2 linked regions of the Astyanax mexicanus genome follow. The main gene of each other region encodes a partner of the protein of the gene in region 2 in a complex. Links are inferred from orthologs where the notes say so. Each region holds a gene or a part of one and is shown on either strand. Other genes may lie near its edges.

What was found.
Region 1: surfeit locus protein 1 (region 2) and smim20 share a complex: the UniProt entries of both Homo sapiens proteins name them as parts of the MITRAC (mitochondrial translation regulation assembly intermediate of cytochrome c oxidase complex) complex. The link is inferred for Astyanax mexicanus from reciprocal best matches to the Homo sapiens genes SURF1 and SMIM20.

The regions. Positions count from the first base shown.
Region 1 is NC_064415.1:23,369,622-23,385,710, forward strand, and holds smim20 (small integral membrane protein 20), read right to left. Parts: upstream 5,949-16,089; 5' UTR 5,887-5,948; coding exon 5,778-5,886; intron 4,744-5,777; coding exon 4,687-4,743; intron 4,548-4,686; coding exon 4,507-4,547; 3' UTR 4,100-4,506; downstream 1-4,099. Other genes in the region: plaa (phospholipase A-2-activating protein), read left to right, coding at 6,518-6,666, 7,904-8,097, 8,279-8,379, 8,511-8,631, 8,787-8,954, 9,712-9,847, 9,977-10,146, 10,769-10,920 and 6 more.
Region 2 is NC_064408.1:16,892,830-16,909,305, reverse strand, and holds surfeit locus protein 1, read left to right. Parts: upstream 1-8,089; 5' UTR 8,090-8,216; coding exon 8,217-8,279; intron 8,280-9,882; coding exon 9,883-9,952; intron 9,953-10,409; coding exon 10,410-10,537; intron 10,538-10,628; coding exon 10,629-10,711; intron 10,712-10,930; coding exon 10,931-11,122; intron 11,123-12,458; coding exon 12,459-12,531; intron 12,532-13,112; coding exon 13,113-13,275; intron 13,276-13,359; coding exon 13,360-13,441; intron 13,442-13,561; coding exon 13,562-13,628; 3' UTR 13,629-13,913; downstream 13,914-16,476. Other genes in the region: surf6 (surfeit locus protein 6), read right to left, coding at 4,484-5,197, 5,717-5,799, 5,898-6,125, 7,504-7,600; rpl7a (60S ribosomal protein L7a), read right to left, coding at 14,577-14,681, 14,815-14,884, 15,085-15,215, 15,500-15,579, 16,350-16,476. UniProt on the Homo sapiens protein: Component of the MITRAC (mitochondrial translation regulation assembly intermediate of cytochrome c oxidase complex) complex, that regulates cytochrome c oxidase assembly.

The sequences.
Region 1 (16,089 bases), on a different chromosome or scaffold from region 2:
ATAGAAGTGTTTCATAAAATTGTTTGATGAAATGGTTTCATAAGTATTTTTATAGGGTGATTGAAAAGGCTGTTTTATTTGTCTATCTATTAACTGGAAGGAAAAATAAAACAATAATATGCAAGATGTGGTTGCTACATTCATTCAGGCTTAAAAAAACGACAATATTGTAAGTAATCCAAAGTAATCAGATTACGTTACTCACTTGAAGTAATGTAACTGATTACGTTACAAATTACATTTTGAGTGATGTAATCAGTAATCTGTAAGGGATTACATTTTAAAAGTAACCTTCCCAACACTGGCTACAAGGCCATCACTTACAACAGTCAGTTACCCCTAGTAGTAATATAAGGAAAACTTATAGTTCAGCTATAGGTGCAGGACATTCTGCAGCTATGTGTCAGAACTTTAACATGTAAATGTTTACACACTGTAACCCTTTTCTGTATGTAAAGAATCTGAGCATCTTTGACAACTAGAAGACTACACAGGTCTACACAGGTGAGGGGTTTCTGGTATGCTATGAACAACCTTTATGCACAACTGTATTTCACTGGTTGGTTTAGGCCATAGCCTAAAGGTTAAAGACTCAAACTTGGGAACAGAAGGTTGCCAGTTTGATGCACTGGACTGTCAGGAGCTGGAAGTAGAGGAAGTGAAGAACAGAATTTTTGTTGCATCCTTCAACATTCATAACTGAGGTGCCCAACTGAGGTCTCTGCTCAGTGCTCTGGATACACGTTTTCTGGCTGGGCTAAATGGGGAGATGTAAGTTCTGTTGTACAGCTTGTTGTGCATTGGCTGGAAAGTGTGTTTCTAGTATGCATATGAATATAAATGTGATGATAAATGGCATTACACATTACACAATTCTTGTAAATTTGTATGATACGATCCTTGTAAAATAACTATATAAAATCCAGATGTCAACACTTTTTGTATTACTGATTGTTAAAAAAACACAGCTCAGTTCTCACACTCATACATGTATTCCATACACGTTTGCGTGTTTTTATTTAGGTTTTTCTCACAATTCCTGCTAAATTAGTAAGGAGAAAAAGTGAAAACAAATCCGCAAAGATTTTTATATAAAAATACTTTGCCAATACTTTGAGTACATGCCAGTTTCCTGTTCTAAACAATGACGACTGAAACCCATGGTACCATTTCTTCCATGCAATAAAATGAAGCCAAAATTGTCCACCATTTGTCGAATTTACAATAACTGTCTATGCAGTAAAGACCAGAGGCAGAGCCAGGATTCTTCTACTCAATACAAGAATGTCTCAGAACTAAGCGAAACAGCACAGGGTTAACTGTTGGAGCTAAAGACCAGTGATGTTAAAAAATGAAAAAAAAAAAAAAGTCATGATAAAACCTGTGGGGCTAAGATAAGTCTTACACAGCAATTAGCCAGCAGAGATGCTAAACCTGTGGCAGCTTTATTTTTGAGAAATGCTGTGCGGTCTATATTTTTCTACTGTCACTGGCTCCAAATGTCTGCTAAAAATATTTGTTAAATCATATAACAGCTAAAGGGTTTGAGTGCTACTGACAACATTATTCAATAACATGCACACATAACCTTAATATGTTAACATAAACTTTGATTGAAAACATATCTGCATTAGAAAAATACACTCACAGCCGATATATAGAGCTGCATATCACCTGCATGACAATAAAAATGTATGCTATAAGAATGTTTTCTAATGACTTTTCCCAGTAGGCGCATATATAATATAAACAGTAACGGTCCTAAGATAGAGCCTTGTGGAATTTTAAATATTATGAACCTTTTCAGTTAAATATGATTTAAAGGATGTTAAAGCTGTTCCAATGACTCACACCATGTTCTCTAATCTTGGGGGATGGTGTGGTCTATTGTATCAAAGTATTTACTCAGGTCAAACAACACCAGTAGAGAGACAAAGTCTTGATCAGGGGCAAGAAGCAATCAAACATTTATTATCTTAACAGGAAACTGTCTCAGTGCTTTGATGAGGCCTAAATAATTTTTCATAGATGGGATTATTTTGCAGGTAAGAGCAAGGTTGCTGGGCTACAGCTTTTTCTAACATCTTAGATATAAATGTGGGTCTGAAATAGGTTAAAACATTTTAAAATTAAGATCATTTACATTGAAAACATCTGGATTAGGAGAACACACTTATTTCTAACAATATTTCTGAAAAGCTTAGTGCTTATAAACTTCTGGCGAGCAGTGTGTACAGTTACTGTACATGCCCACACTCAGGCAGCACTTGTACTCGAGTGGGCCAGGCCCTCGGCTACACCGCCACACAGGTGTGGGTGCAGACTGGTTTCCATAGCAACGGGACTTCGGCCCTGGAGCGGCACTTCGGCCCTCGTGTGCTTCTCTCAGGTTACAGATTTTGTTTCGCAACTTTCTGTTGCCAGAAGACTCTTCCAGGACCTGCTGCCAAAATAATAGTAGAAATTTAATCAAGGTGCAGCAGCAGGAAACAGAAGGAAAACTGAGACGAGTGCAAAAGCATCATGGAGTTCAAGTCATGTACACAACTGAGAAGAATCCAGATGTTTCGATGCTTTGCAAAGAAGATTTTTTTTACTGATTAATCCACAACTAACCAGGTTTGAGGTGTTGTTTTTAAGATTTCTGATGTAGACCATCTATCTTATTCTGTGTGACAACAAAGAGGCTGCCATGTGTGTTTTCTTTGTGTTAGAACCTTTGGTGAAGCAGTATTTACTGACAAACATTACAACAACAGCGATAATTAAAGAGGTAAAGAATAAGCAGTTCAAATTTTACAGTAAGAATATACCAAAATTGGTCTAAGGAAGAAAAAAAATCATGGCTGAGGAACTTAACTGAGGTGGCTGCCCAGTGCTCTGAATATGTGTTATGTCATGGATGAACTAAGGCTACGTTTACATTATAAGCGACATTGCTCGAATACGATTTTTTGTCCGATTCTTGACAGTTCCCATTGACAAATGTAAGTGACCTGTATCTGTGTGTAATGTGAATAAATCTATACCTGAAACGCTTCACATGTGCACATCAACAAAAAACGGCATATTAGAGAGACGAACCGTAGCTTAATAAAGGTGTAATGGATCCGTTAGCAGCTCATATGTGGAGCAACTTTTGCTGGAGTGGAGAGTAAACAGCTGGTCTGAAGTACATGCTCAGTTCAAGGTGGAGAAAAAAGGCCAGGCGGTTTGCTTTTGCTGTTTTTGCAGCTATGGCTGCACAGCTGAACCAAGAGATGTGTGGGTACGAGAGAGAAGCACGTAGCGCAGTGTAAAAGCAAAAAGGGGCATTAATACCGATTTGACCGTTCACATTCATGTCGCATGTGCATGGATCGGATACGTATCCGATTTAGGACCACATTTGAAAATGACTCAAATTTGATTTGAGAAAAAAAAAAAAACGGATTTGGCACATTTACACAGCCTTGAAAAAAACGTATCTGAGCCATATTGAGTGTGTTTCTAATAAGCATACAGATATAAATGTGAAGATTAATGGCATTACACAATTATTGTATATTTACAATATACAATTTACATTAAAATCCTCCATTTAAAATGTCCGTAAAAGAAGAAGCCAACACCATAACATCGTAACCCAGAGAAATCGTTTAATTATTAAGCTTCAGTTGGTAAGGTTAATCCTCTAAACACATCTGTGCTTCTGTGCTTGTAGATTAGCTCTTGATTAGTGTCTCTTCTGACATCCTCACAGCACCCATCACATCTGTTTCCCTGGAGCTTAGTCACCACACCTATCCCATCTTTCAGTGTTGTGTTTGAAAGCTACTTAGCTATGCTCTAAATAATAAATAAATATGCTGCAAATAATGTTAAATGGCCTGTTGGAATGTTGGGTTATTAATATTATTAATAAACAAAATATTAAATAGAAAAACATTTTAAATTTCCCATATCTTCATATCATTTGCAATGGAAACCATTCATATAATGCTACACTGTATCTCATGAATAAGTCACTCTGACTGAACGTGACCTATTGGATCTACAAGGCTTTGTGCTCCCCCTAGAGCTCAGCATGCTTCATTACAAACACAAACATACTAGATAGTTCCAAAAATCACATTTTATTTCATTCAGGAATAAATCATTCTATACATTACAACATATGACAATGAATGACACAATATTGTGGCAGGTATTACATATTACTGATTTTTTCCCCCAATGTAACTTTTTCCAGATGATGGCCTTACTCCAGAATTGTACCATTTTTCCTGTAATACACAGGCCAGCTATCAAAGACTGAATGAGTGTTAACGTGTTACAGCCAAGAAAACTAAACAGGGAAAATTAGGAGTCTTCCAGGGAATAAGCTTCTTTCACTCGCTTGCATGTTAAATGGTTCATTCAGTCACACTGAAGTGAGAAGTGCATAATGTCCCAGACATTTGCAATGATGTCTTTATGTTCATGAATCTCTTTTCCCATCTGTTTCTGCTACTGCCTTGCATCACATCATGACTTCGGTTTGAATGGATCTGACCAGACCTTCACTCCTTAAAATAGAGAAATCGCAAAGCATGAAAAGACACATGCCATACATACTGTTTCTCCATCTGTATGTTTCCTAAGCTTTTAGCTTTAGCTACACATAATACAGTACTTGAATGTTTACTGCAGAAGAACCAGACATACCAGCAGGCTGAATATCTGCTTGATTGATTCCAGCTCGGTTGATTTTCTGGATCTCCCCTGTAGAAGTTTAGGATTTAACATTAGACAGAGTGGTTGAGGTCGACCTCACAAAGGTTTGCAAAGGTTCATATCACTGCAATGCTGGGTTAGGATTAATAAACAAGCCTGACATACAGTACCACTCAAACGTTTTGACACACCCCCTTCTCATTTAATGTTTTTTTTTATTATTATTTTTTATTATTATCTAAATTGTAGATTACTAATAAAGAAATCAATACTATAAAGGAACGCATAGGAAAGTAAACAAAAAAGTGTTAAACAACCCAAAATATCATATATGTTTTATACTTTAGATTCTTAAAAGTAGAATGTCTTCACATTATTCTTTCAGGCGTTTTATGAGGTAGAACCTGGAATAAATAAGTTCCTAGAGGTACTAAGCTCTTATTAACTGCTTTTCCGTTACTATTAGCTCCATCTCTTCCCAAACCACCTGGGATGGATTTTTTATGTCAGGTGTTTGTGAAGGCAGAACCCCTTTTTTATCTTCTACCTAACTGCATATAGAGTTCCACATTGTTTTTGAGTCTTTAATACTAATCTACAATGTAGTAAATAATACAAGTAATAAACAAATTGGGGGCTGGGGAAATTTTCAATTCTTAAATGCATCTCGATTCGGACATGGACGATTCTGTATCGATTCACTGAAAACAAAAATCGATTTTCTGTGTCCAAACTTTTGAATTGTACTGTGGATTGATAGATATTGTTTAAATAAAGTTCCCAACAAAAATACATTTATATGTACATATTTACTTAGCTTACATTGTTACTGGCCACGCCATAAAATAAAATACAATAAAATGTAGCTAACTAGATAAAATAAGAGTTCTTAGTTATAGTCATACATGTTTCTATATAATTAGCGGTAGGGAATCTATCTTTCTAATTAAGAACCTTTTAATATATTGACATACGGTTATATGACAGTTGGTTATTAAAGGGTGAGAGCAGTTAGCTAACGTTATTTAACATCACTGGCAAACTAGTTATTCACAGCAAACTAGAAACGCTGATTAACTCACTGTACTCCTCTTTGTGAGAAAGAGGGTGGAAGAATATCGGGTAAAAAGCTGCAGTCACTGCGGTTACGAAGCCCCCGAATATGAGTGTTATTCTCAGGTTTCTCGACATGTCTGGACCTTGAGAAAGACAGAACAGACAGGTAGCTAGCTTAGCTAACCTAACTCTATCCGGGTCAAGTTCAGCACTCGGAAATTAACCCATTCATTGCCAGTAACTGCATTAGCAGCTATTTATTTTAGTATGCGTTCTGATTGGACTTAAACCTAAAAAAAAAATAAATAAATAAAAAAACAAAAACATAATTATTTAAAAATATCTTGTAAAAACAATGGTATTGTTAAATTAACATGTTATTTCTAAAAAGAAGAATAGGTTGTAATACACCATCGGAGGGCGCTCCCAGAGTCAACAATGAAATTGGTTCATATAGAGCTACTGAGCAAATTGATAGTTTATAAACGTTGAATCTTTTTTATACTAAAAATTGTACTTATTTCCTCATCACAGAACAATATCAAATATTTTAGTACAGGGGACTTTTATGTTGTAGTGTCTCTACATCTCTGCTGCGGAGGTCTTTTCTTTTGTAGAGTGTCTCTCGGTCTCTGCTGCCGGGGTCTTTTATTTTGTAGTGTCTCTCCCTCTCTGCTGGACGGGGCCGCTCGTGCTCTCTCAGTTCCGGGGCTGAATGAGTTTTGTTTTTTATCGTGCTGATTTAGCGGAGCTCTGAATTTACACCATGGCCTCTCCCAGCACCTACCGGCTCAGCTGCTCCATCCCGGGCCATGAGATGGATGTTAGGGGCCTTGCCGCCGCGGTTTTCCCTGAGGGAGGTTTCGTCTCCGTGTCGCGGGACCGAAGCGCCAGAGTCTGGGCTCCAAATTTAAGGTAGCCGGTTTAGCCGGCAGGCTACAGCTAACAACAGAGCCCAGCTAGCCTCGCTAACAGTGTTTATAGCAACCAGAGCGGCCGGCCGGGCAGCTCTCAACACTGTAACCATGGTTTAACTAGCTTACGTTACTCCTTCCACTATGATACTATTTTGTGAACGATATATCGTTCCTGAAATTGTTGCGATAAACGGTATTATTCTCAATTTTAGAACATTTAAATGCCACTGACATAATGATAACAGAATAGCTTAACTAATAAATTATAATGTTACAATTTTAAAGACAACCAATTTCTAATTAATCATTGATTGATAACTATATACTTTACCTACTGTAGTCCACACTAAGTGTAGGGAGTCACAGTTATTAAAACATTGCTCATTGCATGACTGGCTAAAACACTGTTCACTGTTATGACCTATATGTGAACAAACATACAAGCCACACAATAGACAATATCACAGTAATCAAATATTGTTCAGGTATTTACTATACAATAAATCGATTATATAATTATCGTGACAGGCCTAGCTTAGATTAATTGATTAAATAATATTGTTAATAAAGAGGCTGGGCTCTGATATAAAAGTTCTTATATTTTGGTAAATGATCATGCACTGATAGAGCTGGGTGATATGGTAATAATATTATATTTTTATATATGATGTACAGTATTAATATTTTGAAACACAGAGTATAGTGATTCTTATTTTATTTTGCTGCACATCATCCAATTAAACAGGATTTTTTATACTCTCTGTAATAAAATGTTGTACTGATGATATCCTCAATATGGTTTAAAAAACTGATCATAATATAAAAAAATATCAGTATATTGTCCAGCTATATTTGTCACAGTACTTTTTGGGACTATATACCATCCAATCAAAAGTAGTTAATTGTGACAGACCTACCCTAAAACGTCTGTAGAAGCCTTGAGCAATTTATTTTATTAAAAAAAAAAACTACAATGACACTTAAAACAGAAGGGATGTCTGAGGTTTCAGTTTTAGATTTTGCTGTTAGTTATGTACGTGGCATATTTGTGAAATGTCACAGTAGATTTGGAATGTGCATGTGCATGCTCATCGGCTTACTGACTCTATATCTATTAATACTGTCTCTCGCTGTTGTTAGTGGAGTGTTTACTTTGAGCAGCGAGCATGTTGCAGGTGTTCACAAGCTATAATTGAAAACGTGTCTTGGTTGCTTTGTATTTTCTTATTCTGTAGTGAAACTAGAGGTTACACGGAGATGCACTGTATGAACGGCCACACGAACTTCGTTTCCTGTGTCTGCATCATCGCCCCCAATGAAACCTACCCCAGGGGCCTTATTGCAACAGGAGGCAATGACAACATTATCTGCGTCTTCTCCTTAGACAGACCGGACCCTATGTTTACTCTGACAGGACACAAAAACACAGGTGTAGTGCTTTATAATACACATAAGTACAGTCCTTCTCATCTTATCATCAAGAAGAGTCAAGGCTGTGATTATTTGATTTTTCTTTTTTAAATAATGGATTAAAAATAATATATTTATAGAGTGACCAAAACCTTTATGGCCACTTATTCATTCCAAGTTTCTAATCCTGCTGTCCACAGTGTGCACACTCTCAGCTGGGAAGTTTGGGACGTTATTGAGTGGATCATGGGACACCACAGCTAAAGTCTGGCTCAGTGACAAGTGTATGATGACTTTACAGGTAATTCTGCCTTAAGAACTGAAGAATTATTTGTTTTTGAATTCTGTTTGCTTGGGAATTCTTTGTCCTGAGCTATTTTAATATGCGTGTGTGTAATGTATGGGTGTGTCTGCTTTTGTTTCTGTATGTAGGGGCATACAGCAGCAGTATGGGCTGTGGTGATTCTGCCAGAGCAGGGACTTATGCTCACAGGATCGGCTGACAAGACTGTTAAACTCTGGAAAGCTGGACGCTGTGAGAGAACATATTCAGGTGAGCCTCATAGACATTTACATTTTCATTTCTTCTGAGCTAGACTGTGTGCTTTTCTTTTTAAATGATCAGATTCAGTTTCGTTTTTTACACGAACCACAAGAGGTCAGTGTTGAGTTGATTGTGTGTGTTTTATTTATTTTTTATTGTTGCAGGTCATGAGGACTGTGTTCGAGGACTAGCTGTAGTGAGCGATGTTGAATTCCTGTCCTGTAGTAATGACGCCAGCATCAGGCGATGGATGGTGACAGGAGAATGTGTTCAAGTATACTACAGTCACACTAACTATATCTACAGTCTGTCTGTCTTTCCAAATGGACAAGGTGAGGATTTTAGTACTTATAGTAGTTTTTTGTTTAATAGAGTTTTTTTCTAAAGAGAGTAATGTGAACAATGGCGAAAATAATATAGTTTTATAGTCTTATATTTACATTTACAAATGGACAGTGGCACTTGTTATTAGAAAAATAATAAAAAGTCAAATGACTTTCCTAATCCCTAATAACATTTAGAGTATCTGCCGAGTCACGATCCAATACTTTAGAAATGCAGTAAAAAAACAAAACAAAACAAAAAAACACATCCAAGTGGTCCGTTAAGGTCTATTTAATAAATTGTATTTGCAATTGTTATTGAAACTGTATCCAAAAATACCATTTTATTACAAAAATGTGTTTGTGAAAGTCTTATATTGTACTAGGAAAAATAAGAGGAGAATGAAACGTGGATAAAAAATAGTTGATGGATCGATAAGTTTGCTGGCTTAGTGTTCATGCTAGCATACTCGAAAACAGGTGATACACATCACATACCCGCTTTCCTAGCCTACCAGCGTCCTAATCACTCCGCCTGAAGGGTACACCCACTCAGAAATCTGATACATCAGTCATCCGGAACTTTTTCACTCAATTCCGACCCTTTGAAATTATGTTATCGATCCTGATTTCCGATCACATGATTGGATCAGGGACATCTCTAACTGTCAGTTAATTTGAATGATTAGTAAATAATTGTATTAAAATATGAATTCATGACAAAGCTTCTTCTCTCTCTCTCTCTCTCTCTCTCTCTCTCTCTCAGACTTCGTAAGCACAGGAGAGGACCGCACAGTAAGGATCTGGAAAAATGGTGAATGTGCTCAGACAATCCGTCTACCTACCCAGTCAGTCTGGTGTTGCTGTGTTTTACCTAATGGAGACATCGCTGTAGGAGCCAGGTACACAAATGATCTACATTGTGTTTTCACTTACAAAATCAGCTGTACTCAAACATTTCAGACAGTTGATTATTATTGAAAACTAGTGTAGACACTTATTAATTACATTGATTTGCGAACTGTTCACAGTGATGGCATCATCCGTGTGTTCACTGAGAAAGATGAGCGTGTAGCGAGTGCTCAAGACCTGCAGGCTTTCGAAGATGAACTTTCTAAAGCTACTATTGATCCCAAGACTGGAGATTTGGGAGATATCAAGCCTGAGGAACTACCTGGAAGAGAACACTTAGATGAACCAGGTAAAAAAAGACTGGAATCTTTTAAACCCTGTCCTGGTGTTTAAGAAAAACATTTAAACATTTGAAAGCTTCCCACATGTTGTGTTAGACTTGCAATCAGCAGATTTTGTGCCTTCTGCAAATACCATGCATAAATGAAAAAATTCTATGGACTTTAGAACTCAACCTATGAACATGCCTTTACCCGGGCTACAGGTGTAGGTGATACAAAACTCTGCAGTAAAAAAAAAAAAAAAAAAAAAAAAAAACTTATTTACATTCTGAAAATTTGAGGATTTTGAAATCTCCTACAGGAAAGTATTGATTTCAGGAAAGAGCAAATTTTAGGATTTTATTCATTATATTTTGACAGTTGCAGATTTACTTAAATATTATACATTCTATTACAATTACAATTATAATTTTCAGTAATGTTCCTTATCAAACGTTCAGGATTTAGGGGTGTATTGTTATGCAGAAAATTGACAAAAATTCTGGCCTGTTAAGGGTTTGATTTTCCAAAATTATTAGGTATTGAAGCTCAGTAGAGTGTTGACATTTGAAAACCTGCCTATACATTACATTATTCTGTGAATCTCTTGAGCAGTTGACTTATATGTTGTGTTTGTGTTTTTGCGCATAGGCAATAGAGATGGTCAAACACGACTCATAAAGGAAGGTAATAACGTGGAGGCGTACCAGTGGAGCATGAGTGAGGGACGCTGGATGAAGATTGGAGACGTGGTGGGAGGGTCATCCAAGGACAGCTCTAAAAGAGTAATGTATGAGGGCAAGGTAAGAAACCATGCTGAAGCCTATTTAAAGTAGCGCATACAAGGAGTGCACAATATATCAATATATCTTTTCAACAACATCTATGCAAAGTGGATACACACACTAGTGATATCGCAGGATGTGTAATGTCATGTAATACAAGTTAATTCAGTGTAACAGCTTTTTTTTTGCTGCTTGATTCAAAAGAAAACACCACGGAGTAGATCTACCCAATATAATTAATTTTACTCCAATCTTGGGTAAACATGAAAAAAATGTAACGCAGAAAAAGACAGTTTTTCCCCAACACCATTTTTAACACCAGTTGGGTGTTTAGTGTTCAAATTGTGTTTTACAATAAAAACAGACTAAACTGCATAAAATGCTTTAAACATGCACATTAATACCTTTCACTGTTACTCTTCAGGAATACGATTTTGTTTTTACCATCGATGTGAATGAGGGTGGGCCCTCAATGAAACTGCCATATAATGTGGCTGATGACCCCTGGCTGGCAGCACACAACTTCCTACAAAAGAATGATCTGAACCCCATGTTTCTGGACCAAGTGGCTAATTTCATCATTGAGAACACCAAAGGCCACACCCTAGGGCCAGCTCCTGCCTCTGCTGTAGATCCTTTTACAGGCAAGTAGCCTAGTGGTATTGACCCCATTTACATATGGTCACTTATTGAGACTGGTATCTGCATTGTATCTTGATAAGATTTTAGTAACATGCTAAAAATGATCATGCTTGGCATCCAAATGCATCTCCAGTTAGTCTATCTCACATCTGTTGTATCAGGTGTAAATAAGGTCAATAATCTTGTCTTAGACTGGAAGGATTTTGATGGTTTCTGTAGATGTTTGTAGTTGAACTTCACTTTTAACTTCTTCTATATCCTTTCCAGGTTCAGGAAGGTATATCCCTGGGGCAGCAGATGAAAGACCAGGCTTTGGTGCTGACCCCTTTACTGGTAAGGATACACAGTGATCATACTCCATCATCCAAATTAAAACAGTGTATTGTGATTAAATGTGCTAAAAACTTTGGTAGGTGCTGGGCGATACATACCTGGATCAGGATCCACAGGAACAACACCTGCAGGTGTAGCTGATCCCTTTACAGGTATAACCACATACCACAATGTACACACTGAGATAAAGTTACTCACCTACTCATTTACATAAAACACAAATTGATATGTTTCCTGTGTGTATCTCCGTTAGGTAGAAACGCCTACTCTTCTGCTGCTCTCCAGAAGTCTGTCACAAATATTTACTTCCCCAAGATGGATGGCGTTTTTTTTGAGCAGGCCAATCCTACACAGATTTTCGGTAAGTCTAGTGACCCCTACTCAATTAGCATGAATTAAATGCATAATTTATTTTTTAAATAATTATAATTTGCACTGCTCATTTATTGTTCCTTCTAAAATCAAGGATAATATTATTAAAGTCTAAAAAAGGCTTCCTATAGATACTATAGATTCTGGAGCCTTGCTGTGAGAACTTGATTGCATTCAGCAACAAGATCTTTTGTAAGGCCAGGGTGTTATATGATGTCCACTCCACTTCATCTGCAACTCCTTCCACATGTATTGGTGATTTGGTATTGATTGAAAAAAACTACTAAAAATAAAACAAAAACCCCAAAGCTAATGAATAAATAATTAATAAATAAATATATATAATATATGAGTAATTATAACGTAACAAGCTTTTGTACATAAGGTCAGTTTCACAAGCAGGGGTTAAGTCTAGTCATTGACCATAATTTTTCCTATTTTTTTCCTTTTAGTTTAAAATGCTGCTTAGTCCAAGCCTAAACTTAAGCTCTGTCTGGGGAAACTACTCCTTAAACAAATTTAATAAAGTGTAGCAATATTTGTACAGTCTTAAATGTTACATTTCTGCATTGTCTGAAGTTTGTCCCGTGTTCTTAATACCTTGTGTGCATTCACATTAGCTAAGCTGCGTGAGCTGAATGGCAGTGCTCCAGAGGACCACAGACTAAACGACACGGTGCTGAGCAACCTGGAAAAGCTACTGCTCTCCATTTCAGACTGTAAGAGCCCAGATCAGCCCACAGCAGATCAGATCAGCATACTCTGGAGGACCAGCCACTGGCCTGAAGGTAGAGCTCAGACACAAAGCAATAGTGTGCGTGGACTGTGTGATATTTAATTACTAAATTTTATGTTGTAACTGTCCACAGATATTGTTTTCCCTGTGCTGGACATCCTCCGCCTAGCAGTGCGGCACCCTGAGGTCAACGCTCAGCTTTGTGGAGGTACAGAGGGAGCCAGTCTATGCAACCTCCTGCTGGGCCTCATGTCACCTCAGGGCCGACCAGCTAACCAAATGCTGGCCCTCCGCACCTTCTGCAACTGCTTCTCTGGATCCCACGGTCGCTCTCTCCTCCTGAGCCAACGTGAAGCCGTGCTGTCCCGGGCAGCCGACCTCCGTTCTGTCTGCAACAAAAACATCCACGTAGCTCTCGCCACGCTGGTGCTCAACTACGCGGGTATACTGCACGGCCGACCGTCCGAGATCGAAGCCAAAGCCCAGTGCTTGTCTGTTGCTAGTAGTGCTCTAGAGGTGGTGCAGGACAAGGAGGCTGTCTTCAGGCTGCTGGTTGCACTCGGGACTACAGTGGCTGGAGACAGCACAGCCAAAGACCTGGCACGCTCGCTGGGCGTCAACTCTCAGATCACAAAGTACGCCGGCGTGTCTGACCCGGCTAAAGTAGGCGAGTGCTGTCGACTAGTGATGGATGAACTGCAGTGATTATTACTCTAAAGAACTGAGCTGAGCGCTTTCAAAGACCTCACAAAAGTCGGCAAACATCTCCCTTACATGGTCATGGTCTTCTGTTCCCACCACCCACCAAACCCCCAAATACATAGTTTCTATTTAACTTGGTCTGATTTTTGGTGATGAAGGAGTTTGAATGTGGATGTGCATGATGTGAATAATAAACACTGATGTATTAAATTGTTTCCTAAAAAAAAAATGGTTGCATGGTTCTTATTCTTATCACACCCTTACACTCTCACTCAGGGCTAAGATATTTGACTAGATTTCAACCTTTTATCTCCATTTTTCTCCAACTATTCAAAGTTCTCCTTCTGCTGTAAAGTGCCAATTCGGAGATACAAAGTTTGTTGTTTTTTGAGTGTAAGTATATAAAGATTTCTGACCAGGTACATTAATTAACAAAGAAAACATAATTAAATATTGATCAAATACTAAACAAAAATAATTTGTTCTGTTTTGATAGAATTATAAAAAAAATGTCGATTCCAGTTTCTCAAATGAATATTGTTAGGGGTTGGAATATCTGTGATTCGGAGGTCTGTGATGTGATTATAAAATAATTATGAATTCATTTTAATGCATCTTTTTCTTCTTTTTCCTCATTACATGACTAACTGGTCCTATTAAAGTATCTGTAACTCCATAATGAATTCTGCTATTTTATAGGCTCGTTGACACTATTTCTATTTGCTTGAGAAAAAAGCATAGTTTTTTTTAATTAATCAAATAATACAAAAATAAGCTTCAGCCACAAATTTAAAACCAGCTACAAGGAGAGCAGAAAACAATAGATGATAATGTTATGGCTGACTAGAGAAACGTATATACTGTATGGAGCTGGTTTTAATGTTGAGGCTGATCTGTGTTTGATCAGATCTTCGATGACATGAGAGAAATGCAAGATCAAATCCTGTTTATGTTGGCAGGTCTGAATCGTTTTTTGGCATTTGTGAATCAATTCAGAATCGTCCACATCCAACTCGAGATGCATCATAAATAAAAAAATTCTCCCACCTTATTATTGTTAATGATGATTACCATCTGAGAATTCAAAACACTGAAGCTAAATCGAAAAACTGCCCTATTCACATCCAGTATACCACATTTGAACAATTTGTACAATCTATATTACGATGCAAGATGGGATTATTTCAGTGCACTGAAAATTCAGTACTACATTCAGGACATCACTAAAAAAATGCCAAAACCACAAAATAGGGCACTACACAGTGAATAACTAAGGCAAATTTGGAAACAGCAAAGTTTGGCAAAAAAGCTGTTTCTGTTGATCATTAAAACTAGAATAATTCATTCATTAGAATAAAGTACTTTCCCATAAATATTAATATATATATTGGATTTTTTTTTTTCTAAAGTACCTCTTTCTGGCATATTGTCCACCTGTTGTCTACGTAATCATCAATAAATACACTGCTCTCAGTGATTTCTTTTTTCTTAAACTTTATTTCTCAATCATTTTGCATATGCAGTTAACCCCAGGTTGAGTCATACTTGTCAACAAAATGTTTAGTCTACACATAATATTTAGCTAAATAAAACTCAGCTGTTTAACCACGCCAATGCTAAGGAAGTAGCTGGAGGTTGTCAAGTATGCTACTACTGTCACATTATTTGCAAAACCCCAAAAATGTCATGCAATCTGCTTACTCTAAATAATAATAATAATACAAGAAAATGCTAAATAAATAGTGTCAAAACCTGTAAAGCCTTAATTTAAACATGAGGAGCTTTGTCACATTAATGGATGAAAGGGAATGTTTCACTAGCTTTGTAAACAATTTATCAATTTCTCAGACTTCATCATGTAAATCTCTGGACTTTGGATTAGACATCATTGTTAACCAGGTCAAATGCTGAACCAGAAACCTTCACAAATCTTTCAAAAATTAGATATAGAAAGTGAAAATGCAAATGAACATTGTTCAAATTGTACCTTAAATACAACATACGGTATGTCTGGCATAATGCTCAGGCTTGGAGCATGTGTGTTCTTTGTTGGCATGATGCTCAGACCCTCACAGCTGTACGGCTAATGTAAGTAAAGTTATTCCTTACAGAAGAATAAAATAGATCTAACCATCTATAATTCTCTAACCTTCCCATACATCCACTTACCATATCCAGAAACTAGAAACTAGCCCTGTTTACACTTGACTTTAACCCCCTCAGGCACACAGATTTACTGATATAAACCAATTAAAGTATAATAAAACTATTAAACTAAAACAGATTTGTGTTGGGATTTTTAGGTGAAGGGTAAAAGGTACTTTCTGAAGTGGTTTCTACAAGAAGCCGGTTGGAAAGCTTGGGTAAGCCATGCAGAAAATCTACAGTTCTTACATTACTTC
Region 2 (16,476 bases):
ACCTCACACACGCCCCCTGAACCTTGAAACCTGGCTGCGTTCAAAATCCCACACATCTGTTACCTACCGTCCGCCGGTACTAGCTTTAGGCAGCTAGCTAGTATGACCGGTGTTCTGTCGAGCTATGCTACCCATCGATAAGTGCTTCTTCACGGCAATGCGCATGCGCCGACCAACAATTTTTTTTAGGTAATGTTTTTCCATGTTTTTCATGATAATTCCTTAAGTTTTTATTGGAAGCATTAATTATCCTGCTCGAATATAAAAAAACTGTACATAGCAGCTACAAATACCAATGTAAAGTTTAAAAATAGTAAACTATAAAAAATAAGGAATATAGTCACATATATAGCCATATCTTTTTACTTTACTTTACTTTACTTTTACTGAGATTTAGCCTATCCACATATCATACCTAGGCTTCTGCTGGGAGTATTTTCTAATATGGTGCAAAATATGGTGCTATTTTGTATTTTTACTTATTTTATTTATTAAATACTATTAAATACTATTGTGTTCATTTAACTGTAAAAATACAAACCAAGCACAATTTTACAGCATGCTCCCAGTAGAGTTCCCAGTAGATGTAGGTTAGCATATTTGAACTGTATCTGTAATGGCAACGTAACTGTAACGTTATGGCAATGAGAGGTCTTCACAAACTGCTTCTGTATTTTATTTAATATTAATTATTGTTTTTATTATTATTAATTTCCATTTACACTTTTTATGCAATGACAGTGAGTCCAGGTTGTAACAGATTTATTGTTAAAAATATTTTCAAAAACTATGAGAAATAATTAAAAAGTGTAGGTCAGCGCATGCGCAGTGCCTTTAGAAAGCACGTATCGACGGGAAGCATAACTCGACAGAACACCGGTTATAGAGAGCCTGTCCACTTTATATCAGAAATGACTGCTTACCGCTAGAGGGAGCCCGAAAGTGAGTCCTAAATGAATGGGTGCAAACGGAGCTAAACGGCTAAAATCCCAAATTAAAAACAGTAACTTAATATATAATAATATGACATTACTTTTAGAAAGTATATTGAAGTATTTCGCTAAAAACGTGTAGGGTAACAGCTAGATCATGTTTAAAAGGCTTATAACTGGAGGTTTAAACAAGAATAATGCGGCGCTATAGCATTTGCTATTGTTCTGTGTTAAAAAAGTAAATACATTTTCTATAATGAAAATATTAAACATTTATAAACTATGATTTTCGTTAGTTGCTCAATATGAATCCATTCATTTTTGACTCTCTCTGGAGCGCCTTCTGGTGGTCAAACAAACAGTGAAAAGGTTTGTAAGATTGGGTAATTTTTCTATCTACGTATAGCAAATTGGTTATTGTAAAATGTAATACTTAAGTACTGACAGTAAAAGTACAGTACTGTGATATTAGTGTAGTTATTACAGAAAGCAGTGGAAAGTTAGCCGTGATAAAGGCAGAATGAGAGCAGCAAGGTCTTCTTATAAGAACAGCTTGATCTCTTGATTTACTCAATGATAAGGAGCTTTATCAAACCCAGTGACAGTGCCGAACATATACCACTCTGGCTTTAGTAATAATGTGGATTTGGAATAATTCCTATCATTTTTATAATTATAACAAGTAACAATGCAGCACATAAAAATATATCAGAGTAAAATTCTTAAACTTATGGTAAATATGTAGTGAACTAAAAATGGAAGTAGGAGAAAAAATTATACTCCAGTAGATAAAATACAACATTTTAGTACTTCAGTACAGTAGTGAAGTAAAAATAATGCTCCAGTAGATACAGATACAGCATTTTAGTACTTAAGTACAGTAGTGAAGTAAAAATAATAATCCAGTAGATATAGATACAGCATTTTAGTACTTAAGTACAGTAATAGAGTAAAAATAATACTCAAGTAGATGCAGATACAGCATTTTACTACTTAAGCATGCTTAAAAGGCTTATAAAAAGAATTTAAAAGCTTTAAAAACAAATACTACAGTGTTAAAACACTGGACCTTGTTCTGTGTTCAAACAGTGAATACATGTTCTATTAATAAATTACTAAACAAGTATAAACTAATTTTGTTCAATTGCTCCATATGAACACATTCATTTTGAGCTTACTCAGGAACGCCCTCTGAAAGGTTCTTAAGTGGGTAATCTCCTCTCTAAAGGTTCTTTGCCATCGCAGTATTTGGATTTGGACGCAGATCTGCCTGTAGAGGCGGAGTAAACGTATCTATGCGGTAGAGCCAGAGCTGGTTTATGGAGAGCCCGTCCACTACTTAACCCTTGCCCTAATATCTATAACGACTAAAACCGCTGGAGGGAGCCCGCGAGTAAGTCCAAAATGAATGGGGGTGAAGGAGGCTAAAGGACTAAAACCTCAAATAAAATATAATATCCAACAGCCAATTATTAATTAATTGTTGGACAATAGAATAATGTATTTTGTAAAAAAAAAAAAAAAAAAAAGGCAAAGTAATCATATCTATATATTTCTACTTTTCTTCAGTAAAGGGATTTTAAGCTAGCATTACTAGTTACTGAGCTTACTGGTTGGTCAGGTTTATAAATGATGTCTTTGGTACTGACAGTCCTGTGTTGAGACACATTAGCACATTTGTTTGTATAAAATGATTAAACACTGCTGCATTCAGCGTTTCTTCACATCTCTAAACAGAAAGAATAAAATAATGCTTACTGAGCTTTATTCTGGAAGACAAAGGAGGCATCAGATTCTTTCCTCAGTTACTTAAATAAACTGGGGTTTTCAAAAAAAGTTCCTAGCACTAAGATGATTCTTAAACTTCACCCTAAGCACTATGTTAAGATGTTCTTAATGCCAAAATACTTTTGGGAAACTGGGCCCTGAAAATTAGAATATTATATAAGACCAAATGGAACTTTTGGCAGTGTGCCAAGTCCTGCTGGAAAATAAAATACATATCTCCATAAAAGTTGTCAGCAGTGGGAAGCATGAAGTGCTGTAAGATTTTCTGGGAAAACACTGTACTGACTTTAGACTTGATAATAAAACACAGTGAACCAACACCAGCAGATGACATGTCGCTCCAAACCATCACTGATCATCAGTAAATTTAGCATAATTAATTAGCATTAATTTGTAAATCAAGAGCCCAGAGGCTGGAGGAAGAATGGAGAGACACACAGTCTAAGCTGCTTGAGGTCTAGTGTGAAGTTTCCACCAATCAGTGATGGTTTGGAGAGGTCATCTGCTAGGGTTGGCCCACTGTGTTATATCAAGTCTAAAGTCAGTGCAGTGTTTTCCCAGAAAATCTTACAGCACTTTATGATTTCCTCTGCTGACAACTTCTATGGAGATGCGGATTTCATTTTCCAGCAGGATTTGGCACACTGCCAAAAGTACCAATTGGTCTTACATAATATTTTAATTTTCTGTAAGCCATGATTAACAATAAAAGAAATAAATGCTTAAAATAGATCACTTTGTGTGTAATACAACTATATAATATGTTTCACATTTAGAACTGAATTACTAAAATAAAGTAAAAATGTTTTTTAGATGCACCCGTAAATGTTTTACTTATCCTTACAAAACAAAAAGATATCACTGTCTGTGGAAGAAGTCATTTTTAGATTCATATTCAAGATTAAAAAAATGATAAACTTGCAATATAATTAGTATTATAAAAACAATGTATTGTATAGTACATTAAAAAATACAAATACTTTCAGAATACACAACAGCAATTCTTTCTTTAAAAGAGTCCATGAAATATCTTATACAAAAGTGTCTATTCCCACCTATGAGAATAACATTTTAATCAGGCTAATAGCCATTTAAACATTTTAAATGGTTTAATTTGAGCCGACACTGTAATGTATATAATATTAAGTTTACTAAAATGTCCTGTTGATTTTAGATAGAGTGAACAAGAATTACATACAACATGAAATGTACTGTAAACTTTGTACATTCAGCACTTCATTATACATTTACCATTGTGCTCTAAATTAAGCAAATAAACAGCAGCTGTGCAATAAATAGGGCAAACGGGTTTTCCATTATTTACTTTACTGCATTTAATTGTACAGAGACATAGCACACCTTAGTAAAAGTATAGACCAATTTATTTTCAACACTACACACCTTTTGTATATCCTACAAATAGCCTATGTTGTAGTTGGACATGCACCTCCCAAGAAACAGCAGAATACAGCAATTGTAATTGCTCAGCTGAACATTGTAGAGTGTTGCAGACAGACCTATGCACATGTATAAACGCTCACAACTACACAGTAGACTCTGTGCTAACTTGCAGAAGACAGAAGTATAAATCAATCATTAGAAGTTAAGATTCCTGAACTGTTTGGAACCATTTGTACTGTTCTGTTCAAGTCACCATCACCGTTCTGATTCATGCTCTTTATAGTTTTATCCTTTTCTAAGTACGCTCCTGAATTTATTCAATCTCTGTCCATACGTGTCCAATTTCTCCATTATATCAATCTCTACAGAGCAGCCTTTTTCAGATCCTGAGGCAGCACTCTGCCCTTCTTCCTGGCTCTCTGTTGCCGCTTCTCCATTTTATTGTCTTTGCGTTTCTGAATGTTCCTGCGTCTCTTGTCCTGTCTCTGCTGCATCTTCTCCAGCACATTCTCGCTCCTCTCCACCCACTTTTTCTTCCTCTGGGTCTTCATCTTCTCTTTCCTCTTCAGCGAAGCCCGTAGAAGCTGTTCATCATCTTTGATCTTCATCCCCTCAGCCTTGTAGAGAACGTTGGTCCACTTCATCTTCTCTTCTTCCTTCTTTGCTTTCCCTTCATCCTTCTCCCGCAGCTCCTCCAGACGGGCCTTCCTGGCCTCTACTCGGGTTAACAGCTGTTTGTAGTTCTTCCCTATGAGGGGAGTGAGGGTTCCTTTCACTTTCCTTTTCTTCTTCTTCTCCCTCATCTTGGTCCCTTTATCCACATAATCATCCTCAACCTCCACCTTGTTGAAGACCAAGGTGCTTGTGTCCTTCTTGTCAGATTTGGATTCAGCAGGTTCAGACTGAGGTGTGGTTATCTCCACCGGTTCGCTTTCCTCTTTTATCTCAGTGGTAGAACTCTGCGCCAACGCTTTCATACGGAACTCTTTCCTTTTCCGCTTTTTGCGCTCTCTCTCCTGTTTCCGTTTCGCTCGTCTTTTCTGCACCTCTTCTGAGGAAGGGTCCTTGGGTGGACCCTAAAGTGAGAAAATAAGAGACTTAAGAGGCTTACAATAAGCAAAAGATACAAGTTATTTATACCAGAGTACTGGAAAATTAGGGGTGTAAGAAATCCCAGTATTTTGCATTTCTATACAGTATAAATGCTCAAAACAACAGAATTTCTTCATCATTAATTAATGTAAAGAATGGAGGCAGACATTGGTTCATTTAGTGTTGTGCTTAAACCCTGCCTACTTGACAGCTGTGTTGTAGTCTGTTTTGATTGAGCAAAAAGTAAACTTTACTTTACTAAAGATAATTGAAAGCTGTTCACACTCATGATCTGCTCATATTTGGGCTGATGACATAAAAAAATGTGTAAACGCACAGCTTGTGCTTACAATCATTAATAAAACATTTCCTAATTCTGCATATTAAATCCTCTTTAATAAGGTAAATTCTAATCTGTTTGAAAAAACTAACAAAGTGAGTTTAAGCAAAACATCATCATGTCCTACAAATTCATTAGGGGGTTTGTGTGTTTATTTTGGTACCTGCCCACGAGACTCCTCAATCTTCTGATGAAGTCTTTTCCTTAAAATATCCACTGCATTAAACTCGCCTTCTGATTTTGTGCCTTGAGGAATTAAAGAAAATGTGTTAATAAAGATACTGGAATTCTGTTATGCTTCAGAAATAATTCTGGATCAATTCAAATTCACACTTTTGACTTACCATGTGTCTTCTTCTGGGCTTGATTCCCATTCTGAACTCTGGCCTGAGGAGCTTTCTGTTCTGTGATGGGCTGTTTCTGTGCTGCTTTTTGGATGGTCTTTGGGGCTGGCTTTTTATCATTTGTGTTTACATTATTTCCTTTGATCTGCTTCTGTTTCTTCTTTTGTTTCTTCTTAGGTGGCCCACTGTCACCATCTTCGTCACCACCACTACGAGCACGAAATGGAACTGAAAATAAATAACAGAGGAATGAATAATAAATTAATAATGAATAATTAATAACAGCTGGAAAATAAAGCTTGACTCTTAATTCACTTAACTGTTCTAATTTTTTTTCGTTAAATATACTCAAGAAACAACAACTGCAGACAACCTGAATGCTGTGCATTCTTCCCTTCTGTTCTACAGAAATAAAGCCAAAATTGCCTGTCTTTGCAACCAGGGTGCATTAGAAAGCAGTTAGAGAGAGCAAAGTTAGAGTCAGACCATTTTTTTCAATGGCTACCCAGTTTGTTACAAAAATGTTTTAACAGAATAAGGTATTTTTGACTTCAGCTACGACTTTAGACAGATCTCTTCCAGACAAGAATGCCAAACATTTTATTTCTTAATGTATAACCCTGTCTTCTTACAATATAGCAGGACAGTTGAGATGGAAAAACATTATAGAGGAGAAAAATTGACAACTGCCTTCTTACCACAACCAGTCTAACCTTGTTTTCTAGTCACTGTTGGAACTACATGTAAATGTTTGTTGTTACCTTGAGAGATCAAAGTTCTAAAACACTAACGTATGTATATCACAGTCAATCAAGCAAATTACATTGTGTTACAATGTCCTATTTAATAGACCAACAACATTCTTCAAAATAATTAGTAATGTTTTTTTTATATTTACTTCCATTGAATGTTAAGATTTTGAAGGTGCATGGTTTGCATAACAGTAATGATAAATTTAACAACAGCTTAATATTGCTATTAGAGATAATTATAAGTATTTTGATAGAAGCTGGATAAGTCATTTTTAAGACATTTCTTCTTAAGAATGGCTGGTGAATGAGATATGTGGAAAAAAAGATGGGAAGTCCAAAATATTTAGGTTTATGAACTTACTAATTATATAAACTAATTAAAAACAGATCATGAATCTGCATGATCAAGCTCTAAAATGTACATTTGCGGCATTTAGCTGATGCTTTTATCCAGAGCGACTTACAAGGTTATTCCTATTACAGAGGTGGGCCAATGCAGAAGTTAGGAGTCTTGTTCCAGACTCTTATTGGTGTAGAACAGCATTTAGTCACCCAGACTGGGAATTGAACCCCAGTCTCCCAGACAATGTGGTAGGTAGCTTACTGGAAGTTAGTGGTATTATGCACTGCACTGCACTAACCACTTATGACAGCCAGTGTAGCCAGTGTATGACTGCCCATAAAGCCCATAGTTCTTTAGGAAACAAAAAGGTGATTTTTCTATGGCAGTGTGTTTCCCTGCTTCCTACTAGTGATTTAAAGCAGGCACAACACACAAATATGCAGAGCTGTGAATTTTTAGAGTATATATATGACCACATACCACATACTGCAAAACAAGAATAGAAGCGTACCATAGGGTCTCTGTCTGGTCTGTTCGGTCTGGGAATGGCACACTTTTCGAGTCAGCTTCTCCAGGTAGTCGTACTTGGCTGCAAGGCTTGAGGACATCTTTGCAGCAACTGGACAAAATACACAACACAATCATGCAATCAGCCACGTGTGATCACACTTAGCTAGGTTAACATTACACGTTGAAAACAGATGACTGTATAATATTTCTTAAACACAGAGACCCTACAAAGTAAGAGCAGAGCGTTGGATTAATGTTTATTTAAGTTACTAAGATCAACTTACCTTCCACAAAGCCAAGCTCAGCTAGGTTAACTATCCCACAATATCCCACAGCAGTTACTGGCAGCTATTAAACTAGTTTCTCACTGAGGGAATAATTAGAAAGGATTTGCCACACATTTCCTCTTCTACTTCTCCTTCTTCTTTCACTCAAACGGTCGGAATTCTTAATCTGCGCTCGATCTGAACATTAAAAACAGCGTTTCTGCAACAACAACTGCTCTAACTCAACAGCTCCTCCTGCCCATGTGTTTCACACCGCGCATGCGCAACCGCACACGCCTGTCTCCGGATGGTGTTACAGTGAAACTCGTCCCCTCGCCTGCCGCTCTGTGGAGAACATGTTATGCAGGCGGTTTGACCTGTTTACTACTGACACCAAACAGATAGATATAATCCAGCATAACTCTCAGTTTAGACATTTCTCCTGAACATGAGTGGCCTTAAATACATGCTCATGTTCTGTAGTCACGCTCGCAGGATCATCCGGATTAATGTAAGTTTCTGTTTCACATTTATAAACATTATTTACTGATAATAAAACACTATTCCAGTTTAAAGACAGAGAGGCTGAAGTTTTTTTCTTATTCGCTGCTAACGTTACTACCGCTTCACTGAATTAAAGGGAACATGCACATATATTATTTAAAAGTCTAATACACTATTACTGAAGGAGATAACTAACTAATGAAGGAAAGCAGAATATCTGTTTACTAACATTGTAAATATACAACATGTCATTCAATTTAATCTTCTATACTATATGTTCCATCACTTATTCATTCCAAATAAATTTGCAATTCTAGTGTAATTAATTAATTTCCTACTACTTTAAGGAAAAGCCTGGCCAAGCAGACCAGAATAGGATGAAGCTGAAAAAAAGATGTGCAAATGATGTGGGGTTCAATTGCTGCAGTTGGTCTGCAGGTCTAGGTTCAGCAACAGTATGTGCTGAAAGAATAAGGCCAGCTGACTACCTGAATATACTGAATATAGACCAGGTTATTCCATCAATGTTTTTTTTCTTTCCTGATGACACGAGCATATTCCAAGATGAAAATGTCAGGATTCATGGGCTGGAATTGTGAAAGAGTGATTCAGGGAGCATGAGATCATCATTTTCACACATGGATTGTTCACCACAGAGTCCTTTTTTTAGTGACAACTTTTTTTTGGCCAGGCAGCGTATAATAATAATAATTATTATAAAGCTAGTTACCACTGGTGTAAGAACAGAGGGATAGAGGGATGTGAAAAATTATACCGCAGGAAAAGCACAAACTAGCTCTGGCTTGTGTTGAGATTCTGTTCAGAAATATCCTGCAGTCAGCAGTTGTTGGACAGTCTCGTTAGTTTGTGCAGGTGCTGAGTTTAGAATACCAGAAAATACTTTAATACAGTTATGCTGCTTATTGTAAATCATTTCAATAAATCATTAATGTAAATCATTTAGGCACTGAAAGTACAGTACCAGTCAAAAGCTTGGACACACCTTCTGATTCAATGTTTTCTACACTGTTGTGAACAAAAGAAGTGTTTGTCCTTCACAATCCCCTGACCTAAACCCAACTGAGCTGGAGCTTTACAGTTTGAAGGAAAAGCAGCAACTATTGTTCAGAACCAACAGAAACTCCTTCAAGATGCAGAGAAAACTGTGTGCGCAGATCTGTCCTCAAGCTGAATATGTCTACTTAGAATCGAAGAAGTATAAAACATACCCTGGTTTATTTAACACTTTTTGTTTACAAGACAATTCCATGTGTTCCTGTATAGCTTTAATGTCTTCAATATTAAATTTACAATGTAAATAAAATTATAAAATGAAAGAAAACACATCAAATGAGAAGAGGTTTGTCCACATTTTTGACTGGTACTGTATTTGTTTTATTTAGGTTTATATTGCAATCAAAAATTTAAAATGAATAAGAGTTAATTTTAGAAAATGTATTGTTTACTAGCCTGTGGGATTTGAAGACAAAGGCCAGTTAATATTGGAATCAGAATATTGCTTGCAATAATTGTTCTTCACTCATTTTAGTCAGTGTATATTATTTGCTTTTGTCAGTATTTGTAAATCAGATTGTTTTGTCTTTTTCTAGACTCAGACTGTCATTTCCAAGAGAAATATTTTCGATAAATCAAGGCAAGTCTTGCTCAAACGTGAGAATGGTAAGAATATTGTTTTATATATTATGTTTTATGAATTATTAATCTCTTGTCCTATTACTTGTAGATTTCTCTACAAACTGCTTTGTGAGCAGTTGCAAAAAGTTACTATGCAAATAAACTTCACTTGATTTGATATTGATATTATGTGCTAAAATATTTATACTCTTTGTTATGATTCTGCTGCTTCTTTTGACAAGTGTGCCATGTCTGCTAAATTAAGGTGGACAGCTTATAATTACACTTAATGTTTAAAAGCAATGAGACAATACTTCTGATTGACAGGATGAGTAGTGTATTTTACAGCATCCATATACTTGGTTTAATGCTTTTTTGTTTTGTAGTAAATGCATTTACTACTAGAGAAGAATCACCAGTGTTTCAACACATACTAAAGATTAACTGTAATATTCATGAACACTGCAGTAGCTGTCTGTTCATCTTCTGTTGGGTTTCACAGTTAAACCTGTTAACGTGAGTAGACAGACCAGTGTGGATGCGGCACAGGCAGAAAAGAGTGAGGATTCCTTGCTGAAATGGCTGCTGCTGCTGATCCCTGTGACCACCTTCGGCCTGGGAACATGGCAGGTACGCTCAGCTGCTGTTTACCATGATTAAAATGGTGGTTGCTCAGATATTTAAACTGCATTTTTGAATGTGTATTTATGTATATTTGTAGGTGAAGCGCAGGCAGTGGAAGTTGAAGTTGATTGAAGATCTCCAGAAATTAACGACAGCAGATCCGATTCCACTGCCCACGGAGTGAGTGTCCTCTTTGGCCCATGCCATACTATAGGTGTAGACAATGTAGTTGGAGAGTCAGTCACTTAGTAATAGTGCATACATTTTTTGGTACAAAGAAAGTCACATAAAAAATGATTACCTATTTTAGAATAGTCCCAGAGTGGCAGTGATGACGGATATTTGATTGTATTATTAATGTATTGATGTAGCCTGTGTTTGTTTGTGATCATGTGACAGTCCTATGGAGCTAAAGGATCTGGAGTACAGGCGTGTGAAGGTGCGTGGCAGGTTTGATCACTCTCAAGAGCTGTACATCCTGCCCCGTTCTCCAGTGGACCCTGAGAGAGAGGCCCGCGAGGCAGGAAGGCTGTCCTCCAGTGGAGAGACTGGAGCTAACGTCATCACACCTTTCAACTGCACAGACCTTGGGTGTGTACAAACACACAGACATACAGCATAAACCTGTATTGACATTTTTGCCTTAAATACATACATTTACAAGTAACACAAGTAACCCCACTAATAAACCAACATGCACAAGATTTTAAAGTCTTTGCCAGCAGTTTCAACCTAAATGTTAGCATATAGCGAGTTTAGCACAGACAGTACTTATAGGAGAAATCATAGTATTGTGCAAGTACCCAGTGATGTCTATTATAAGCAGTGATGTTAATAACCTGTTACTGTAATCTGACCATTTGTTTCAGTAACGAGTAATCTAACGCTTTGCTATTTCTTATCAGGTAATAGGATTAAAGTTACGTACCCAAGTCACTGTGCGCTACGTTTTTGTCATTTTCCTTAGTAAAAAGATATTGTAGCATCTGGCTGAATGTGTTAAAAGGATGGACGAGAAAGATTTGCAGTCGACGTTCATTGCTGGAACTAACAAAAGGCTAGCGATCTAACAAGCTAACAGGCTAAAACTAGCCCTAGTGCTGAACACAGTGTGCGCAGTGGGCGGTGTTGCCGCCGTTCTACTTCAGTTGTTCACCGACGTGTGTTTCAGAACTTTCGAATCAGACAGTTCTTCACACTCTGGCTGAAACTCCACCCTCTTTGACTAGGTCTGCCTAGCAAAAACAACAGAGCAACCTATATTCTGATTGGCTCAACAAGAGTACATTATAATATACTGGATGGATTGGCAAGCGTGAGAAATACCATGTGTGGCGTATGAGCGTGTGAACTCGCTGAGGTGCGTGTGTCACACGCTCAAAGCGCGAGACTTGAGAACACTGCTAACTGAAGTGAGGAGAGAGTTGCACGTTTTGTAGCTGGAAATACAAACACTATTCTGAGTTTATATCAGCTAAAATGAATCAATATCAAGCTTGGTTGTTCACTCTGTGCTACCTAGCTTCAAAAACACGTCAAATTTGATTAAACATTTGAAGTCGCAGCAGCACACTTACAGAAAAAGTCCCAAAGGTGGAGCAAAACGAGTTTTGGCAAAACTGATATGTTGAGGCGGCAGGGCTGTGCTTAACTTGTAAGTAGCTTAGTTAATTTATGGATTACTTGATTTTAAATGTAATTAAGTTACTTTTTAAAGGAGTAAACAGATTACTTTTTCAAAGTAACTTTGCCATCACTGATTAGAAGTGACTACATCTTTTAGGAATAAGCAAATACATCTATGACAGCATTAATCCTGCTGCAACAGATGGAGATTAAGTAATAAGGGTCAAGTCTTGAAGTCTCTTTAGGACAGACACAATAGTATATCATATAAAATGTAAATCTCATTGTTTTCCCCTCTCAGGATTAAGATCTTGGTGAACAGAGGTTATGTCCCCAAAAAGAAAATAAGTCCCGACACCCGAATGAAGGGTCAGGTAAATGCTTCTTTTTCTTATGCTGCTGAAAAGCTGGGCTTTTATACAAAGTCATCTTTTTTATTTATTTTTTTCTCCATACTTTAAATGTGTGTGCATCAGTATCAGCATTGACCTCAGCATACAGTTATTACTATACCTGCATTGGTTATAACTATTACTGTGTAATCAGGCTTTTATCTATGTCACAATTATAGACATGCATGATTTAAACTAAAAAGACACAACCACATTCTACAGTTGATATCTTTATTTAGTATATTAAGTAAAATGGCTGAAATATGCCTTCTGGCAAACCAAATGTGACAAAATATTACAATATGGTTTTATTAGTTTTTTTTTTAATAAACTATAAGATTTTCTTGCAAATATCAGATATTTGCACATCACTAATATTTAAAAATCTAATCTTTAGTTGATTATCATTAGATCAACATTGGTACTATTATATTTTATACCATTTTAGTGCATTGTTTTTACTGATGACAACAATTTTAGAAATGGCATTTTGCTTTACCTTGTGCATCATCACTTTTTATACTGGAGTGGTTTTAAATTTGTATAATAACTTTGTCTGTAAGGTGACAGAAGAGGTGGAACTGGTAGGTGTTGTTCGCTTGACGGAGCAACGGAAACCATTCGTCCCTCAGAACAATGTGGAGGCAAACCGATGGTTCTACCGTGATTTGGAGGCTATGGCTAAGGTCACTGGTGCTGAGGAAATATTTCTTGATGTTGTGCTAGGTGAGTTTTTTATTTTATTGTTATGAAATGCTGATAAATTATAAATATGTGCTGATAATAAATAAATGTGAATTTGTGATGCAGAGAGCACAATACCAGGAGGACCAATAGGAGGCCAGACAAGAGTAACCCTGCGAAACGAACACATGCAGTATATCCTTACGTGGTGAGTCAAAGCACTGACATTTTATGTGATTTAATTCCATATGTCATCATTACTTGTTCCTTTCTGACACCAGTATGAATGTATATTTCACTGATGCTCTCAATCTCCTGTCTTTTCTAGGTATGGACTTTGTACAGCTACTTCATACATGTGGTATACAAAATTCATCAAACGCATCCATATATGAAAGCAACTGAGCACTGCATCCAAAGGTTTTATGACAGATATGCAAACGTATCCCTCACAAATTGATTGAGAAGTTGGTAATGAACAGCCAAGTGATTTGTAACTACAAGTTTATGCAAATATGTAGAAAGGCTTATTTAAAATTAACACAACCATAAATGTGGAGTGTATTTTAGGTACTGTTTGCATAGCTGAACAGCGACCTGTAGTAAATGGCTGTAATAGAACAGCTCTGCTGTGCATTCTTTGGGTTGCATTTTCTACAATAAATGTTGACATTTTCCAAGCAGTCTAAAATCTTGTCCTGACAATTTAAGGGTCTGGAAAACTGCATTCATCATTTTAGTGAAATCTAGAAATGTAAAGTAAAAGATCTCTATTGTGACTTTCATATATTGCTCATTCCCCACTGTGTATGATCCGTATATGCAAAGTTTCTGTATTCTATGAACTTTACATTGTAAGTCTTAGCAGTAGCCTTAAAAGGGGGCCAGGGGATATTCTAGTGACAATAGCCATATTGTCACTAGTATATCTTGAGCTTGCGGTTTATTACTTCTACCTTGAGAGAAAAAAAAAAAGTATTAGTAAAGCAAATTATGAAAATGTATGTAATGTACATTACTTGATCAGTAACTCCCAAAAGAGAAATCACATGGTAGTTCACTTATACCAATTTACTGCATAGCTTTATACTGTACTAATGTGCAAAATATAATATAATATAAATATAAATTAACCCAATAAAGCTTCCTGTTTAACAGAATATGGCCCATCATGTGGGATTTGATTCTTAAATTAAAATCAGAAGCTTCTAACATAGTTCCAACAAATATGCAATTAAAGTTCACAATCTGTTAAATCTCATCCCACCCAGTAAAGAGGCATAAAACAAAATTTAGGGTTTTTATTATTTATTTTTTTACATAAACAGACGTGTGGTAGGAGTTTAGCCCAGCTTGGCAGCCAGCTCCTTGGCCTTTGTCTTCTCCAGCTTAGCAAAGCGAGCAGTAGACTTGGGACCCATGATGTTGCCTCCCCAGTGGCGACGGATCTACAAGAAAAGAGCATTAGAATTAGAAATTACTAAAAGCACACAAAAGTAAATACCATTTTAGAGTGACAATAGTGCCATCTTTGAAAAAGATGGAACAGTTCAGAAGTACAATATTGAAGAGTTAACTGACCTCCTCATATCTGTCATTGTAGTTGGTCTTGATGGCCTCCACCAGTTTGGCGAGAGCAGCTCTGTCCTCACTAGAAAGTAAAGAAAACCATTAATTTCAGATCCTTTGGTGTTCAAACACAACAACCAAAAGAAAACCTCTTTGCTCAGGGTTAAAAAGCTCATTTGAAACCACATGGTTGTTCAGGTGAAGAAATTCAGACATCATTGCAGAGAGGAGGCTGTTTGTTCACTCTATACATGGACTTCATTAAAAAACAACAGTACTCACGGGTTGGTCTGTGTGAAGCAGACACTGGTGCATGTCTTCCTGTGCACCAGTCTTCCCAGCCTGGCCTTGCCCTTGATGATGCAGTAAGGGACACCCATCTTGCGGCAAAGAGCAGGGAGGAACACCACCAGCTAAAAAAGGAGGAAAAAATAAAATAAAAGAATTAGATAGATGCCAACCCAAAGCAATTCGCCACCTTTTACCTCCAACATGTAAAATCTAATCTGCTTCAAATCATGCAATAATATTGTGGCTGTTGCTCAGGGTTAAAATGTTGTGTCTTCATATATTTCAGGTGAAGAAATTCAAAAGCATCATAGCAGACAACCACATGATTAACAGCTAAACAGACAACCTAGATTAACAATAAAATGTTCCTGGACCTTTCAACAAAAAAAAAAAATGGCACACTCACCTCAATTGGGTCCACATCGTGTGCGATCACAACCAGCTGGGCCTTCTTGCTCTCGACCAGTGAGGTCACAGAGTTCACACCTGGCAGAAAAAAAACAATCAAAATCAGTAGATGCATAATTTAGAAACATACATTAAAAAGACAAAATAAGTAAATATTAGGTGAACACACATCAATTTCCAGGACAATCACTGGGTAGCCAGCATGGTAAGGAAAGTGTCACAATGCAGCTCCGACACATTAGCTAAAAGACCGCTGCTTTAACCACCACACTAGGAGTGATGTGGAGAAAGAGTGCCATCTACCCATCCCTATTTATATAGCTGAATGCTTTTTGGTCATTTGATCAGTGCATCCTTAGTTCTGATCAGTGTTACTGTGGAAACATAGCTCTTGCTCAGGTTTAAAAAGCTCGAATTTTGATCCACACAAAATTTCAGGTGAAGAAATTCAACACATCATTGCAAGAACATCCACAGTAAACATGTGAGAAGGCTTTCCCTAAGAAACCTTCTTAAGCTACGCTTTACATGGAAAATATCAATTATGTTGACTATAAGACAAGCAGTGCCCTGGCACATCGTGACCAGTTAGCCAGGTTACCAGCTATAGTTAATTGCTCACTTGGCCTACCAACTTAGATAGCATTACTTTCAGACACCAAATTCACATCTTACTGGCATGTAAACTGCATTCTTAATTTGGAATAGAAGTATATTCTAAATGCTCCAGCTAGTTACACTGCATCGTGGTTTGTTTTTTTCTTTGCTATTCATCAGCAAGGCTGACCTTAGTGTATAGTATCGTTTATAGTGGACGCCACAGAAACAAAATGTATTGAATGCCTTACCTGCACGAAGAACAGGGGGTCTCTTGGTTGGTGCATCTCCTTTTCCAGCAGCCTTCTGTTCAGCACGAGCCAGCAGCCTGCGCTTCTTCTCCTGCTTGGTCTCGGGTCTGTACTTGTGAGCCAGTTT